Linked DNA regions of Saccharomyces cerevisiae S288C. The protein of the gene in region 1 interacts with the protein of each later gene in a biochemical or structural test. Each region holds a gene or a part of one and is shown on either strand. Other genes may lie near its edges.

Region 1 (9,620 bases):
CGGTGCTACAATTTGCGATGAGCCGAAAGACATATATTCTACGTATATTACACGAAAAAAAAAGTTAGTTCGGACAGGTACATATTTGTACAAATGTATATATATATGTGTGTGTGAGGTTTATAAAAAAAGTGAAGATATTAATATTTATGATGAAATCTCGTCATATCTTGGTGGTTCAGGACCCGGATGAATTATTGGACCAGGCCCCTCTGTATCATTATCATTATTATCATTATCATTATAATTGTAGTCGGTATTGGTAAAAGTGCGCGGACTATACCGTGGTGTGAATATATTATTGTTAAAGTTCATTGTGACAATGTCTCTTTTAAATAGCGTGGCCGCGGTCTCCTGTTCAAAGATATCCTGCGAAAGCAAACCGTCCATATTGCTATAGGCGTTATTTTCATTCCCCATTTGTAGCGCATAATCTTCAGTCCTCAAGGGGCGTGCTTGTTGCTCTTGCTGGTCCCGGATTGGGGCACCGTTAGACGAGTCCGAAACAGCGGTTGTTTTTGGATGTAAGGTTGACAGGTAACCATTTGCGAGGGAAGTCGACCTAGACAAATTCAACTGTTGCATGGAAATGTCATCGGGATAATAAGATACAGAAGATCTTGGTGATGCTGAAACTGATGTTGCCTCTTCAAAAGTTGGTGGCAGGACTTTAGAAGATTCAGTGGTGGCCATGTCATAAGTCGGTAAGTCTATATTTGAAGTGTTACAAAGGTCAGAAATCAAATAAATTGGTGTATCAACAATTACTTCATAATGCCTTATGATTTTTGAGCTACCACTATCAGTTTTGCTAACCCTCAAGACGATTTCTAATTTATGAGAACATTGGATATTCTTAAAATGCATACTGTCCAAATATAAACCGCGTCTTGGTTTATTCAACCGTGTGTAGTGCTGAATGGGAACATTCGAGCTAGTTTGCAAAGATGTATTCGAGTTTCCATTTGTATCATTGACCTCATTATGATTCTTGTCTTGCGGTATTTTATGAACTGTCTTGGAAGCCCTGTTAGGGCGACCCACTAGAAAGCCCAATACATTGCCGTTATTAGAGGTGTTCTCACTCTGAGTTGGATCTTTTATTGGGTCGAAAAGATCGATACCATATGGTGGTAGACTTGCAGCTTTGGTAGCGTCCACTTCACAATATTTTGGAAATTTTAACTTCGTTTTAACAGTAAAGGACTCAGAAAATGGGATATCTTTGTTGTTTTCTTTTGATGAAGTGTAGGCTAATAAGTTATCATCAACTGTATTGGTGACAACTTCCTCTCTAATAGAAGGCCCACTAGTACATTTAGAGGCCACCTCAAATAGAGGCAAGCTTCTGTCCTTCTTTTTTCTCACTAAATATCTCATATGATAGGGATTGCAAGGATCTGAAGCCAATGGATCCAACTGGTCAAAATCATATTGATAGTCTTTACTCCTGTAGGAGATTTTTTCTCTACAACTAACACGAATTCTCTTGACACTAAGACTTTTTACTAGAGGTGCCACTTTAATTGTGATTGGAATTTCACCATTCAAGGGCACATACTTTTGGGCGAATGAAATTTCATAAGAAAGACAATTCTCCCAAACCTTGTTAATGTAAAGTGGCTTATTTGCTGTAGTGACAGAGATTTCTGGCGGAGTTCTCACCAAATTAAGCGGGTACTGTAAATTTATAGTGTCTTCAGAATCATGTTGCATCGCTAAACCACTAGAAGATGCGCCATTATTATCTGACCTTCCGTTAGAATTATTCCTTTTTAAGCGCCCCTTCGCACTTTTTAACCATGAGGAGGGAAATGCGATTTTTCCAGTAGAATTTTTGTCGTTATTGTAGGTTTCTCCTTCTATGGTGTCATCAATTTGAGAATATTCATAAGAATCAGAACAGGAATATGAACGCAGTTTTTGAGGAGAAGAGATAGAAGAAGAACGTGGCCGTGATGCAACCAACTGTGTATGTTCATCCTTCAATTTTGTCGCTAATCTTAAGCTGTAGGATACCCTCGCTGATGGGTAGTAAAGCGATTCAGGAATACGACTGGCAAGCACTATGGGGATAGTAAAGACATAAACACCAGCATTTAACTTGTTCGTAGAATTCGAGGCATTTAAATTGTTTAATATATTTTCCCTAAGAACTGCTTTATTCGAGAAAGAACGGCGTTTCCTCATCGATAATTTCTGGAGCACTTTCAATTTCCTGTTATTGGAATGATTTTCAACGATATCAAGAGGAGACTTTGCGCCTTGCGGAATGAAAAGATTAAAGTTGTCTGCATTTAAGGTCCAGTCCAAAGAACCTATATTATAGCATTCCTCGTTAACATTCTTGGTAGGGGGAAGACCATTGAACCACACCACTCTCACGTTAGAAGTGAGTTCTACTTTAATATCAGAAAGGGTAGTTGATTTATTCAGGGAAAATATCAATGCAAAGCTGAATGAAGGCATTTGGCTATTCCAAGCATTAGGAAGAGAACGCGAGTGAGAATTAGGATGTCTGTTTCTCGCGGGAGAATTGTTATTATTCATAGGGTTGTTATTGCCACTCGCAACAAAGGAATCCGCATCTGTTGTGTTATTGTTCGAGGCCGGAGAAGCACGATCAGAATTGCTTGTATCCATAGCATTACCTGTCCTTGCTGTATTAGAGGGGCTGGTTCGCTGTGTATGTAACGGAAATAGTGATAAATCATTGTTTTCATTCAAAGTGTCCATCGTAGGACATGAAGGGAGGAAATCACTTTCTGCAGTGTTAGTGGACCCGACAGGCTGTGTTCGCGCCTGATTTAAAGAACCATGAATCAGTGATAGATACTCTGTTTCATCACTTTTTGTAGTTGGCAAGAAAACTGATTCTGCACTTGTTGCAATGGAAATTTCCAGCACACTTTTCTTATTATATAACGGTGTTTGCTTGATGAAACCACGATCCGCTAAATAGTCCGATAGCACCCTATTAATAAACATAGTGCTATTACTAGCATGATGTGTTATGAATGACCTAACAATATCATTATTACTAGATATTTGTTTTGCCGCGACTGGATCTGACTCTCTCCTCAACCCGGTGTCTTGCCTTGTGTGTAACTGGTCTATGGTGGTATACGGAACAGAATTCCTGTGCCTATCCGGTTGGTAAGATCCCGTAATATTGTAAGCCTTAGTGCCAACATCTGAAGGAAAACTGTTCCCCCTACACATGGCAGTTGATGCGGTAGAATAGTTACGGTTCATCAAATTGGAATAATCGTCCATACTAGATGTTGGACTATTACCAGTTCCAAAAAAAGAAGAAAGGGCGTCCCTAACACTAGATGACCTCCTTCTACCACTAAATCCTGACGATTTTTGTGGCGAGAGGGAGGTAGAAATCATCTCTCTGTTACGGGCTAGCCTTTGCAATATATCACCCTCGTCGCCTGCAGAAACGTTCTGGACGACATCTCTCTTGTTGCCGTTGCTCGCAATTGCTATTGGGACAGTAGATTGCATGATTGACTTTGCTTACTAGTCTGACTGATTACCCTTGGAGAGCCATCATAATAAATAAAACAGAGAAACGACGATATATATAGTCCAAACCGTGACAACTATGCAGGGAACGGGAGACGGGATTCAATAAGCCGGGGGTCTTTTCCATGTGATACCGAGTAAGGCATAGCCATCATTTGGCAGATCTACAAAATAAAGAAGCCCAGGGTTTGGCCGTGCAGAATCGCTGCGCCAACCCCGGATTTTGCATTTCTTATTCCACTAGGGCTGGTCGTGGGGTACGTGGGGAGCGGTATCCCTTAAAATGAAAAAAAAGAAACTATACCACCCACGCATCCAAACGACCGGGCGAGCGGGTAATAGATGGTTCTATTCTTTAGCCGCCGAAGCTTTCTTCTCTATATACATGTAAATGTATATAATTCCGGAAGTGTGGTCCTGCTACGAACAACACAAACCGATTAATTGATAATGGAAAGAGGAATGAGGTTGGGACAAGTAATACCAACTGGGGCTACAGGAAGGTGGTGAAAGAGGGTATCACATATAAGAACAAACCGTTTATTCGATTATTTAAATCTATTTTAGGCCACGAAGGTAGAGAGGTTGCGAGTGAAAACAACTAACTTTCTTTACGATATTTCTCAATTGGAACTGACAGCGTTAAAGTCCATATTTTGCTACTGATTGCTTTTCTTTGGTGTTATCTACCTTAAGAGAAAAAAAATTCAAATGAAGATTACCCGACTCTGAGTTTTGACGTCCTTAGCTGTTTGTATTCACTGAATTTAGTGGGCTTGGCCATATGAGAATTACAACTAAATCATACTTTTTCGAGATTTTATACTGCTAATATTGGAGAAGAAATATTGACCATCTTGATTTAGCAACGAGAAAGACCTGAACACCATAATGGGCTCTTCGTTGAGAAGCTTTATCAAAGACGTTCGTGGTGCCAAAACACTGGCAGATGAAAGGGCAATTATAACGAAACAATCTGCTAAAATTAGGACAAAATTGAGAGATGACCATCTACCACATGAAAAAAGGCGAGTAAATATCCAGAAACTTCTGTATCTATACATTCTAGGGGAAAAGACACATTTCGGTCAGGTGGAGTCTATCAATTTAATTGCTTCTGACGATTTTGTCGATAAAAGATTAGGCTATCTGGCCGCAACTTTATTGTTGGACGAATCTGAAGATTTATTGACACTCTTAACGAACATGTTGAACAACGATTTGCATCATCCCAACAAATATGCAGTGTCACTTGCACTAACCTCATTAGGCTTTTTGAGCTCCCCTGAATTAGCCAGAGATTTATACCCAGACGTCGAAAATATCATCAAAAATTCAAGAGACCCTTTCCTCTTGAAAAAAGCGCTTCAATGTGCTGCCAAACTAATTTTCAAAGACGTTTCACTTTTAGAAATCTTCAACATCGAAGACATTACTAAGATATTGTCTAGTCATTCAATATGTACTCACGGTGTACTTTTAGGCGTTACGAAAATCATACAATCTATTTTGTTAATTGGATTGAACAGAAAAAAAGATGAGGATGAAGATGAAGACGGTATTGATTACAGCAATGACATCTTGTCTCCATTATCTTTACTTTTGCGTGATTTTTTCATTCGTTTGGAAAATATGAATTCTAAAAATATTGAACCTGGATATGATGTCCAAGGTATTTGTGACCCATTTCTGCAGTGTGAAATAATTTACACTTTAAAACTATACTTTCAAGTTGGTGAGCTCTTAAATTCGAACAATGTTTTGGACTACAAAGATAATTTCTGCGATTTATTGACTCGTATTGCGACGAATACGGATTCAACGAAAAACAGCGGACAGGCCATTCTTTATGAGACCGTGAAGACGATCTTTTCGTTGGATTTGAACCAGCCTCTACGTGTCCTTGGTATTAACATCTTGGCCAAGTTTCTTGCAGGAAAAGATAATAATACTAAATACGTTTCATTAAACACCTTATTAAAAGTTGTTCCCCAAGAGCCTACCGCAGTACAAAGGCATAGAAAATTCATTTCTCATTGTCTGCAGGATACCGATGTGTCGATCCGCATGAGAGCGTTAGAGTTGAGCTTCGCCATCTTGGACGATTCAAATTTAGTGGAATTGGTTAACGAATTGATGAAATTTTTGGCAAAACAGGATGAAGATTCAAAAGATCTCATAATATACACTATAGATCACTTAATTGACACTTTTGATACCCGCGTTGTCAAAGATGAAAGCTGGAAATTAGATGTTTTCTTTAATATCTTAAAATTAGTGGGATCGTTTATCAACTATGAAAAAATTAATGATATTCTAATCATAATAAATAATACGAGCCAGTTATCCGACAAATCTGAATTTTTACGGAAAATGCTGACAATTTCACTAAATGGAACATCAGCGGAGATTTCCGAGGAAAATATTGGTTGGCAGTTGGTTTTGATTTGGTGCATTGGCGAATATGGCGATTTAGTACTCAACGAGGGCAATAAAAATGGTGCAGACATAATCAATGAGTCATCTATTACTGATTACTTACTAACTTTGCAAGAACTCTACACAGCAACGAATCTGAAGATAATCAATTACATTTTAACAGCAGCATTAAAATTATCTGTGAGGTTCCATGACGCGAAAAATATTGAAAAACTAAGACAACTGATATTGAGCTACACGGATTCCACTGATTTATCACTGCAAATGAAAAGCAATCAATACGAGATATTTTTCAATCAGTCAATTTCTGTGAAGAAGATCATTTTAGAAACAATGCCTAAATTTGAAAAAATTACCGAGGAACAGGATAATGGAAAAGCTCTATCGAAAAACCTTATCTCCAACGAACCAGTTGATCTGCTGTCAGATTTATTGGGTGAGGATAGCAAGGCTGAAAGCAAGGCTTCTACTGGTGACAATGTGAAACCAATTGACATATTAGAAGAGATTTTTGGAGAGAAGAATGACATTGCTCAGGTGCCCAAAAATGCGAACAAGGAAGAATCAATCAATCATTCGTCGGCAGTGGAGGCAAACTCAGGTGTCACCTTACCATTGGATGCCAACAAGATATATGACAGTTCCTCACTGAATGTATATGCTTCCTTGCTCTCTGCAAACTCTGGATTAGCACATTTGGATTTATATTTTCAGGCAAAGTCTTTAATATCTGACTTAAAAACTTTCTGTGCCGTTCCTAAAGCTCAAAAGCTAACACTAGGCCAGTTATATCCATCTTCCACAATAAACGCCAGCCAAATTTGCAAGCAGTCATTGAAAATTTCTGGATCTGGGAAACTGAAGTTAAGAGTTAAGTTGGATTTTCATTTAAATGGCTCTTCATCTATCACCAATGAACAGTTCGATCACAAATTCGATGAAACTCTATAAAAAATGCCTTTAAAATTACAGAACATAACATGATTAATGACCTTGCGTTGGATGGTCTGTCGCGCATATCAAGAGACACGTCACGACACAACACGATGAATAGAAATGCTATCTTCTGGGACACCATAAACGACTCCAAAATATTTTATATGTTAAGTAGCGATATATAACAACTAATAACATATGTACTTATATGCTCTCAATAGAATAGATAACAAAGAGAACAAAAACGAGAGTTTGATTTGAGGATATAGGTGAGTTGCCTCTTAATGAACAGAAGCACCTGTAGCCTTAGAAGCCTCATTGACGGAAGCTCTAATTTCATCCTTTTCTGTCTTGCTAACATCTCTTAGGATATATCTGTCGGTCAATGGGGCTACGATCTTTTGATAGATCATTCTAGCGCCACCAGTTTGAGGCAAGGCAATGTAGATTAAGAAAACGGTTTTCAAAAACCAGTAGAATGGAATCAAATATAGAATTGCCTTGGACCAGAATTCAATGACACTCAAAAATGAAAAGACAATCCAGTAGGTCAAGAGTTGTGTGTCATCGGTGGACGTTGGTGTCTTCAAAGCAACCAACGATAAATATGCTGGCAACACAAACCCAGCAAAATTGGAAAGAATTTCACCTACACCTCCGACGTTAATAAAAATCAAAAGGAGATAAGCGAAACCTAAACCAGCAACTAAATAAGATTTAGGCAAATTAGTTTTATTTTCTAATTGCTGTAAAATTCTATTACCAGAGTACTTCTGTAGAAAAAAATGTAGCAAGGAGGGTGAAAATTAGCTTTCTTGTTAGTATAACTGCTTCGGTTACGTGTGTCGGGTCATTTGGCTGTTTGAACCATGATGACGATGGAACCAATAAAACCATCTTACATACGGTATCGAATTGTTTCATTTGAGAGTGAATACTAGATGCATATTCGGACATGATTGGAGTGCGGTTATGTCTTTGTTTATTTGTTTTCACTACCAATTGCAATTTTAGATTCTTTCTTTCGGAATAACAAGCTTCAAGGGAATGTTTTTTAGTTTTAAATCAAAAAAAATTTTGAAGGACATATTTTTTTTTTTTTCGTTCAACCTTGAAAGGGGTTACGCATACTCCCTTTGACGTGGACAAGAAGAGAGAATAACGGCGCTAAGAAAGCGAACCACGAAAATTCGAGAATGGTGATAAAAAAATAAAGGTTAGAATGCCACACAGCCTTCCAAAGAGTGAATGAAAATCTTTTGACTTGATGTAGTTTTTTTTTTTTCAGGAGGAAGTTTAATCCGGATTGTGATTAAATCAGTACTGCCCCTCCAGCAGCCATATAACCTACTTACTGCGTAACTAGTAATTGCGCTCACCCATCCTATCTATGCAACTCTTCTGAAGGTCTTCTCAAGCACTTAATTTTTGTTTTTCAGGAGATTGACAGGGTTTGTCGCTTGTCTTGGCACTCATTCCAGCACTGATTGGGCAGCTAGTTTGAAGAGTTGCACCAATAAATTAGAACCTCATTAAAGTCATGAATGGACGAGCAAGTAGCAAGTCTTATAAATACTTGAAAACGTGCATGTGATGATGGCATCGCTCCCTGTTGAATTTCTTTTTTTCCGTTGGAAGGTGCACTTGTTGAGCGCATTAAAGTTTTATAAAGCATAGTATTCAGGCTCAAAATAAAAGGGGACAAAACAAAACGTGCCGGTGAAACATATATGTCTTGAGAAAATTATTATAATGTTGTCTTCGTCTCTTACTTTTAGAATGTACTCTTTAAAAGTTAGACGCTTGGACCATTTATAAAGCACAAGAATGCTTGTTTATTTCATTCTGATATGCGGATTTAGCTCAGTTGGGAGAGCGCCAGACTGAAGAAAAAACTTCGGTCAAGTTATCTGGAGGTCCTGTGTTCGATCCACAGAATTCGCATTTATTTTTTCGACCTGCCAACTGCGGAAAGTTGGTTCTTGAACTTGACTGCTCCTTCTCTTATGGAAATATCAATGAAAATATAGACTCAAGTAGGAAGATGAAGGAGTTTTTCAACTTGAATGTCTGACTTTTTTTCAAAATTTTCTTACGCCATTGGCCATCTTTTAATGTCTCCAACAAAAAACCAATAACGGATAATCAATATAAGCGTTGGAAAAGAATTTATCACGGCCAAAATTGTTCCCGTTAAAAGTTCGAAGTTTTAGGGACATAAATTTGTCTAAAACTCATGGAAGCACACTTTGCTTCCATTACGTATTGTATAATATTTCCTACTATATCGTGGACTGATACTTTCTTGAGATATCTACATACTTTCTCCGTCAGAGTCAGTCATCCCACCTCAGAGTTTACTAAAAGAGGTCAAAAAGAGGGAAGCAGACAGACTAAGGTAGATGTCCAAAGTTGACAAATAAATATCTGGCTCCACAGTTTTTCAAAATCTCTTGATGATCCCTTGCATTTAAAGGACCGTTATTTGCCGACTACGGACAGAGAAGTTAAATCTGAAAAGAAATGAAAGAAGTGTACAATGACAACAAAAACGATGAAGTAACGTCTTTTTTTTTTTTTGATTACTCCCAAATTCAGTTCCCCCGTTCTTGAATTGGACTACCGATGTTTATGAGCTGGGCATTTTCTCAGGAATTATATAGTATGTTAAGTGTGTAACAAATTGAGATGAATATATACGTGCTGGCTTA
Region 2 (5,804 bases), on another chromosome or scaffold:
TAAAGGTAAAGAATGCAGAACTTTATGGCGCTTCCAGTGTCATTATATATACAGACCCATTTGACGATGGTAAAGTTACTGAGGAAAATGGGTTTTTACACTATCCTTATGGACCAGCAAGAAACCCAAGTTATATTAGGAGAGATTCTGTAAACTATTTCAGTGACACTCCAGGAGATCCGACAACTCCAGGGTATCCCTCCAAGGATTCCGACACTGAACATATGTCACCGGTAGGGAGAGTGCCGAGGATACCATCGGTGCCGATGAGTGCTAGAGATGTCCAACCAATTTTAGAAAGATTGAATGGCAGGGGTTTTCAAATTGGGCCCGGTAGTAATATAAAAGATTTTGGATCATTCACTGGACCTTCAAGCTCTATCGATAAAGTCCATTTGCATAATGAGCTAACTTACAACATCAAGGAAATGAGTAGTGTAGAGGTTAGTATCCCTGGTATATTCACTGAGGGGGAGATTATTATCGGAGCTCATAGGGATTCGCTCGCCTCGAGTAGCGCCGGTGATGCAAATAGTGGCAGCGCTATTCTTTTAGAAATTGCACGAGGAATGAGTAAATTACTTAAGCATGGTTGGAAGCCACTGCGTCCTATCAAACTAATAAGTTGGGATGGTGAACGATCCGGCCTTCTGGGATCTACAGATTATGCAGAAGCTCATGCTGCGATTCTCAGGAGAAGGGCCTTGGTATACCTAAATCTAGATAATGCAATCTCTGGGACAAATTTTCACTGTAAAGCCAACCCACTTTTACAAGACGTGATATACGAAGCTGCTAAGCTCACGGAATTTAATGGGCACGAAGACTGGTCATTGTTCGACCATTGGAAATACACTTCTAATGCCACTATTTCTCTACTTGATGGGTTGTCTAGTTACACTTCATTTCAGTACCATCTTGGAGTGCCCGCTGCACATTTTCAGTTTAATGCCAATGATACTTCAGGCGCAGTCTATCATAGTAACTCCGTATTCGATAGCCCAACTTGGTTGGAAAAATTTACCAATTCTGACTACAAGTTACACAACACCATGGCCATGTTTGTAGGTTTGACAACGCTGATGCTGAGTGAAAACGAACTGGCAAGATTCAATACACATGTTTACCTGAAGAAAATATATAACTGGTATATCGCATGGCACTCTAATCTATCTTCAGCATTTCCCCAGGACGATGAAGTGAACAGCTTAGCAAAAAGGGTTCTGGACTTATTAAAAGTTGCCACACAGGAAGATAGCATCCAATTTGACCAACAAAATGGTATTCTCTATAAAGAGTGTAGGGAAGCTTTACCTGTTTGGGCTTTTTACAAAAAAATCAAGAGCTATATTAAACTGCAACGATCCAATAGCAAATCAAAGCAAATTGATCAATTATTTATTACACACAGAGGACTGAAAGACAGGGAATGGATGAAGTACTCTCTTTTAGCACCTAGTAAGTTTGAGGGATCTGTCGGGGAAGTTTTGCCCGGCCTTCACGAAGGATTGGCTGATATTGATAGAAACGAGGTCATTCAGTGGTTAACCATTTTGCTAAGCCAATTCAGCAACGTTCGCTATTTACTTCAATAAGCATTTAAGTACCTCACCTCAGTATATACATTTATTTTATTTGCATACGTAGAGTGACTTTGAATAATAACCATGAGAGGCTTTTTTGTATATACTCTATAAACATGGCTTCAATTTCTTATACATGTCACACCGTACGTTGTGCGAGGTGATTAGGAAAAGTAAAAGGGGACTAGAAGAATCATGAAATGATTTGTAGATACAGTTATTTGAGGAAAGCAAAAATTACCAATTCAGGAAGGTGTAGGGACGTCGATAGGAGATCACATCGTTAATTAGTGTTAGGAAGAATGAGTTTAGAGGATACATTAGCCAACATGTCATTATATGACGCCAAGAAATATTTTCGTAAAGCTCAAAATGTTGTTTTCAATTATACTGAGATGGAGGGGAAAGTTCGTGAAGCGACAAACAACGAGCCTTGGGGTGCCTCATCCACTTTAATGGACCAGATTTCTCAAGGAACTTACAATTTCAGGGAAAGAGAAGAAATTTTGTCCATGATATTCAGAAGGTTCACTGAAAAGGCAGGTAGTGAGTGGAGGCAAATTTATAAAGCCTTGCAATTGCTCGATTACCTTATCAAACACGGTTCTGAAAGGTTTATCGATGATACAAGGAATAGCATTAACTTAATTAGGATTTTAGAAACTTTTCACTATATTGATTCCCAGGGAAGAGATCAAGGAATTAATGTCAGAACTAGGGTCAAAGCTTTGATTGAATTATTGAGCGACGATAATAAGATACGCGCAGAAAGAAAAAAGGCAAGAGAAACGGCAAAGAAGTACAAGGGCGTTGCTGGAGGATCTGCCTCTGCTGATGGCAGTTTGAATTCGAAGGCAGGTTTCACGTCAACGAAAGTGCACGGCATTAGCGTGAGTGCTGATTTCGATAGTGACAATGAAGATAACGAAGATGGTTCTTTTAGTCAAAATGGATATAACGATAATGCCTCGAGAGCCACATCTACTCCTGGGCAAGGAAAACAAGAACCAGAGGACTTTGTTGACTTTTTTTCTAGTGAGTCTTCAAAACCATCTAAAGAACTCATACAAGAAGATGAAAAGAAGGCGGACGAAGAAGAGGACGATGATGACGAGTTTTCAGAATTTCAAAGCGCCGTCCCTGTTACCAACCCTGCTAATTCGTTTAACTTGCTAAACACGAGCCCAATTGAGGGTATGCCCGCCACCACGAGTTCAATGCCTTTTTATAACAGCTCCACTACCGACCAAGGCAAGATTACCCCAGCTATTGCGGAACCTAAAAAAGTAGATCCTTTTAGCTCTCTCTTTTCAACTGCAAAGGCATCTGCAGAAGCACCTAGTGCTCCTAAAGCATCCCAAGCGAAAGCCGCTGCCTCTAATCCTGTATCTAATAGCACAACTGCACTAAGTACAGATCAAGATGATGATGACGAATTTGGTGAAATGCATGGTGGAGCTGTTCAACAAGAACAGAATACCAATAATAACCATACATCATCCAAAGAAATCGATTTACTTTCCTTTTGAGTGATATTATTGGTTTACACAATATGTAAATGTTTTATAACAATAGAAAGTACTTTGTAACAGGTATTACGAACATTACTATCTAATCTCCACTGTATTTCTCCTTTATATGTTTGTCTTGATTTCGTGAAATAGTTTGTGAACATTTTTTTGATCTTTTTTTCGTAAAGAAGGGCCCTTTTCAAATTTATTTACATTTTGGTCATTTGAAAATACTTTACTTAAAAAGACGAGGAAGAAACTGTAAATCCATAGTTCGAGAGTTGAAGTGCCCTTCAAAACAAAAACTCCTGACTTTTTTTGCTCATTTTTAGTCAATGAACTAAAACTCACCTTCCTTCTCGTTTATTTTTGCCTAGCATTATAGAGCAATTATAACTATATATTAAAGTTGACGCACCGAAAAAAAAGGCACGAAAGAAAACTCTACTAATTTTTCACATCTCGAAAAAGCTCATTGCAGAAGGATTTACCAATATTTCTAAAGTTAACGTAACCATGGCACCGGAAATTTTTGTTAAATTCAAGTGTGCAAGTAGAGACATAAAGCTACTATGGGCGTCCGTCTTTCTTAGACTTCTATCATATGGTTTAACAAATCAAGTTTTGACGCTTTTTTTAAATGCCATCAATATGACAGAGGATAAAATTGGGCTGTTTATGTCATTAACACTGGCAGGGGATGTAATTTGCTCTTACATTCTTACTTGGTATGCGGATTCCTGGGGCCGAAGAAGAGTCCTAGTTTATGGTTGTGCAATGATGTTGTTAAGTGGGTTGGTTTTCAGTTTTAGCGAAAATTTCACCCTCTTGCTAGTATTTGCTATCTTCGGTGTTATATCGCCTTCAAGTGATGAAGTCGGGCCTTTCAAATCTATAGAAGAGGCCATGATTGCACATCTGAGTCCTCATAATGCAAGACCAGAGATTTATGCTATTCACGCCTTGGTTGGAACAATTGGAAGCGCTCTAGGTGCAATAATTTGTGGTATATTTGTAGATCTTTTGAAAAGAACTGGTTTAGCTGCTACTGATTTGCAATGTTATAAATTAGTTTTCTTACTGTATGCCTTCTTCGCCTTTTGCAAAATGGTCATCATGCTCTTATTATCAGATGCTACAGAATTGGACGGGCATTATGAACATACAGATTGCAATGAAGAAACAGCTGAACCATTGGACGTTAACGATGAAACTGCACCATTAATGAGACAAGCAACTCACCCAGAAGAAAGATCCAACAAACTATCTAAGGAGACCGTTTCGGTTTTGATGAAATTGTTAGTAATCTTCATGGTCGACTCTCTCGGGTCCGGGTTTATGACAAGTGGCTGGATGGTTTACTACTATAGTAAGCAATTTTTGATGGGATCTCTGGCGTTGGGTACTTTATTTTTCATCACGCAACTGGTTATGGCATCTTCCACCATCCCATCATCAATAATTGCCAGATGTTTTGGCCCAGTAAGAGCCACACTATTGGTCCAAATTCCATCAGGGATATTTTCTATTCTCATCCCTATGGCCAAGAATTACTTGCCCTTATCTATTTTGTTTTTGAATCTGCATTTTGCAACAACTGCCATGGACGTTACACCAAGGCAAATTCTATTAACAAATATCATCAAACCAAGAGATTTAACCAAAGTTATGGGGGTGGTCAACATTGGAAAGACATTTGCTCGGTGTGTTGGTCCAATATTCACGGGTATACTTGCTAACAATAATTATTTATGGCTATGTTACATCATTAGTGGGTCCTTGGTGATAACGGCGGATCTAATACTGGCATGCATGTTTTTAGGAGTGGACGCTAAAATTAAAAAGCAAATGAACCGCCATTAATGCAGCAGCAAATGTAGAGTGACTTAGAAACATGTGTAGATCATTTCAAGGAAACGTTACGTTTAGAGACAATGTAAATAGTACCCAGTTAAAGTATCTGACACACGAGGAAGTACAACCAATAGCATTTATATTTACTTGATAGATTTGCGTAAGATATATTATTTAAAAATTGATAGTCCTATTTTTTTTTACATCAAAAGATAAGATTGTATTATGTTATAAATTTAAACAATAGAGTGTACAAAGAAGATAAAAGTAATAATAAGAAAAACATATGTAATATTGAAAATCTTTCACTTTTTTTAGCTTCTTAACGGTTAGACTTGGCAACACGTTCCAATTCATCCTTCTTCTTGATAGCGTAAGAAGTAGAGGAACCCTTAGCAGCATTGATCAATTCTTCGGCCAAAGTTTCAGCAATGGTCTTGATGTTTCTGAAAGCAGCTTCTCTGGCACCAATGGTCAACAAAGCAATAGCTTGGTTAACTCTTCTCAATGGAGAAACATCGACAGCTTGACGTCTAGCAGCACCACCACCACCGACTCTGGTGGTGTCTTCTCTTGGACCAGTGTTGGTGATAGCGTCAACAACAACTTGGATTGGGTTTTGGTCAGTCAAGACATTGATGATGTCCAAAGTGTGCTTGATGATTCTAACAGCCTTTAATTTCTTACCGTTGTTTCTACCGTTCATCATCAAGGAGTTGGTCAATCTTTCAATGATTGGACATTGAGCCTTTCTGAATCTCTTGTTGGCGTAACGACCAGCGGTGTGAGCAACAAAGATTGGTTGTCTAACTTGAACGTAGTCAACCAAAGAAGCATCCTTAACTTCAACTTCTTC

What was found. The genes of interacting proteins can lie anywhere in the genome.
Region 2: the proteins of APL4 (region 1) and ENT3 form a complex in vitro, tested with the Saccharomyces cerevisiae proteins (2 studies listed by BioGRID).

The regions. Positions count from the first base shown.
Region 1 is NC_001148.4:621,773-631,392, reverse strand, and holds APL4 (AP-1 complex subunit gamma), read left to right. Parts: upstream 1-4,425; coding exon 4,426-6,924; downstream 6,925-9,620. Other genes in the region: CSR2 (Csr2p), read right to left, coding at 148-3,513; YOP1 (Yop1p), read right to left, coding at 7,191-7,682, 7,816-7,866. UniProt on the Saccharomyces cerevisiae protein: Adaptins are components of the adapter complexes which link clathrin to receptors in coated vesicles. Clathrin-associated protein complexes are believed to interact with the cytoplasmic tails of membrane proteins, leading to their selection and concentration.
Region 2 is NC_001142.9:652,045-657,848, reverse strand, and holds ENT3 (Ent3p), read left to right. Parts: upstream 1-1,885; coding exon 1,886-3,112; downstream 3,113-5,804. Other genes in the region: VPS70 (putative zinc metalloprotease), read left to right, coding at 1-1,595; YJR124C (uncharacterized protein), read left to right, coding at 3,611-4,957; 40S ribosomal protein uS7 RPS5, read right to left, coding at 5,271-5,804. UniProt on the Saccharomyces cerevisiae protein: Involved in the recruitment of clathrin to the Golgi network and endosomes to form clathrin coated vesicles. Plays a role in the trafficking of clathrin between the Golgi network and endosomes.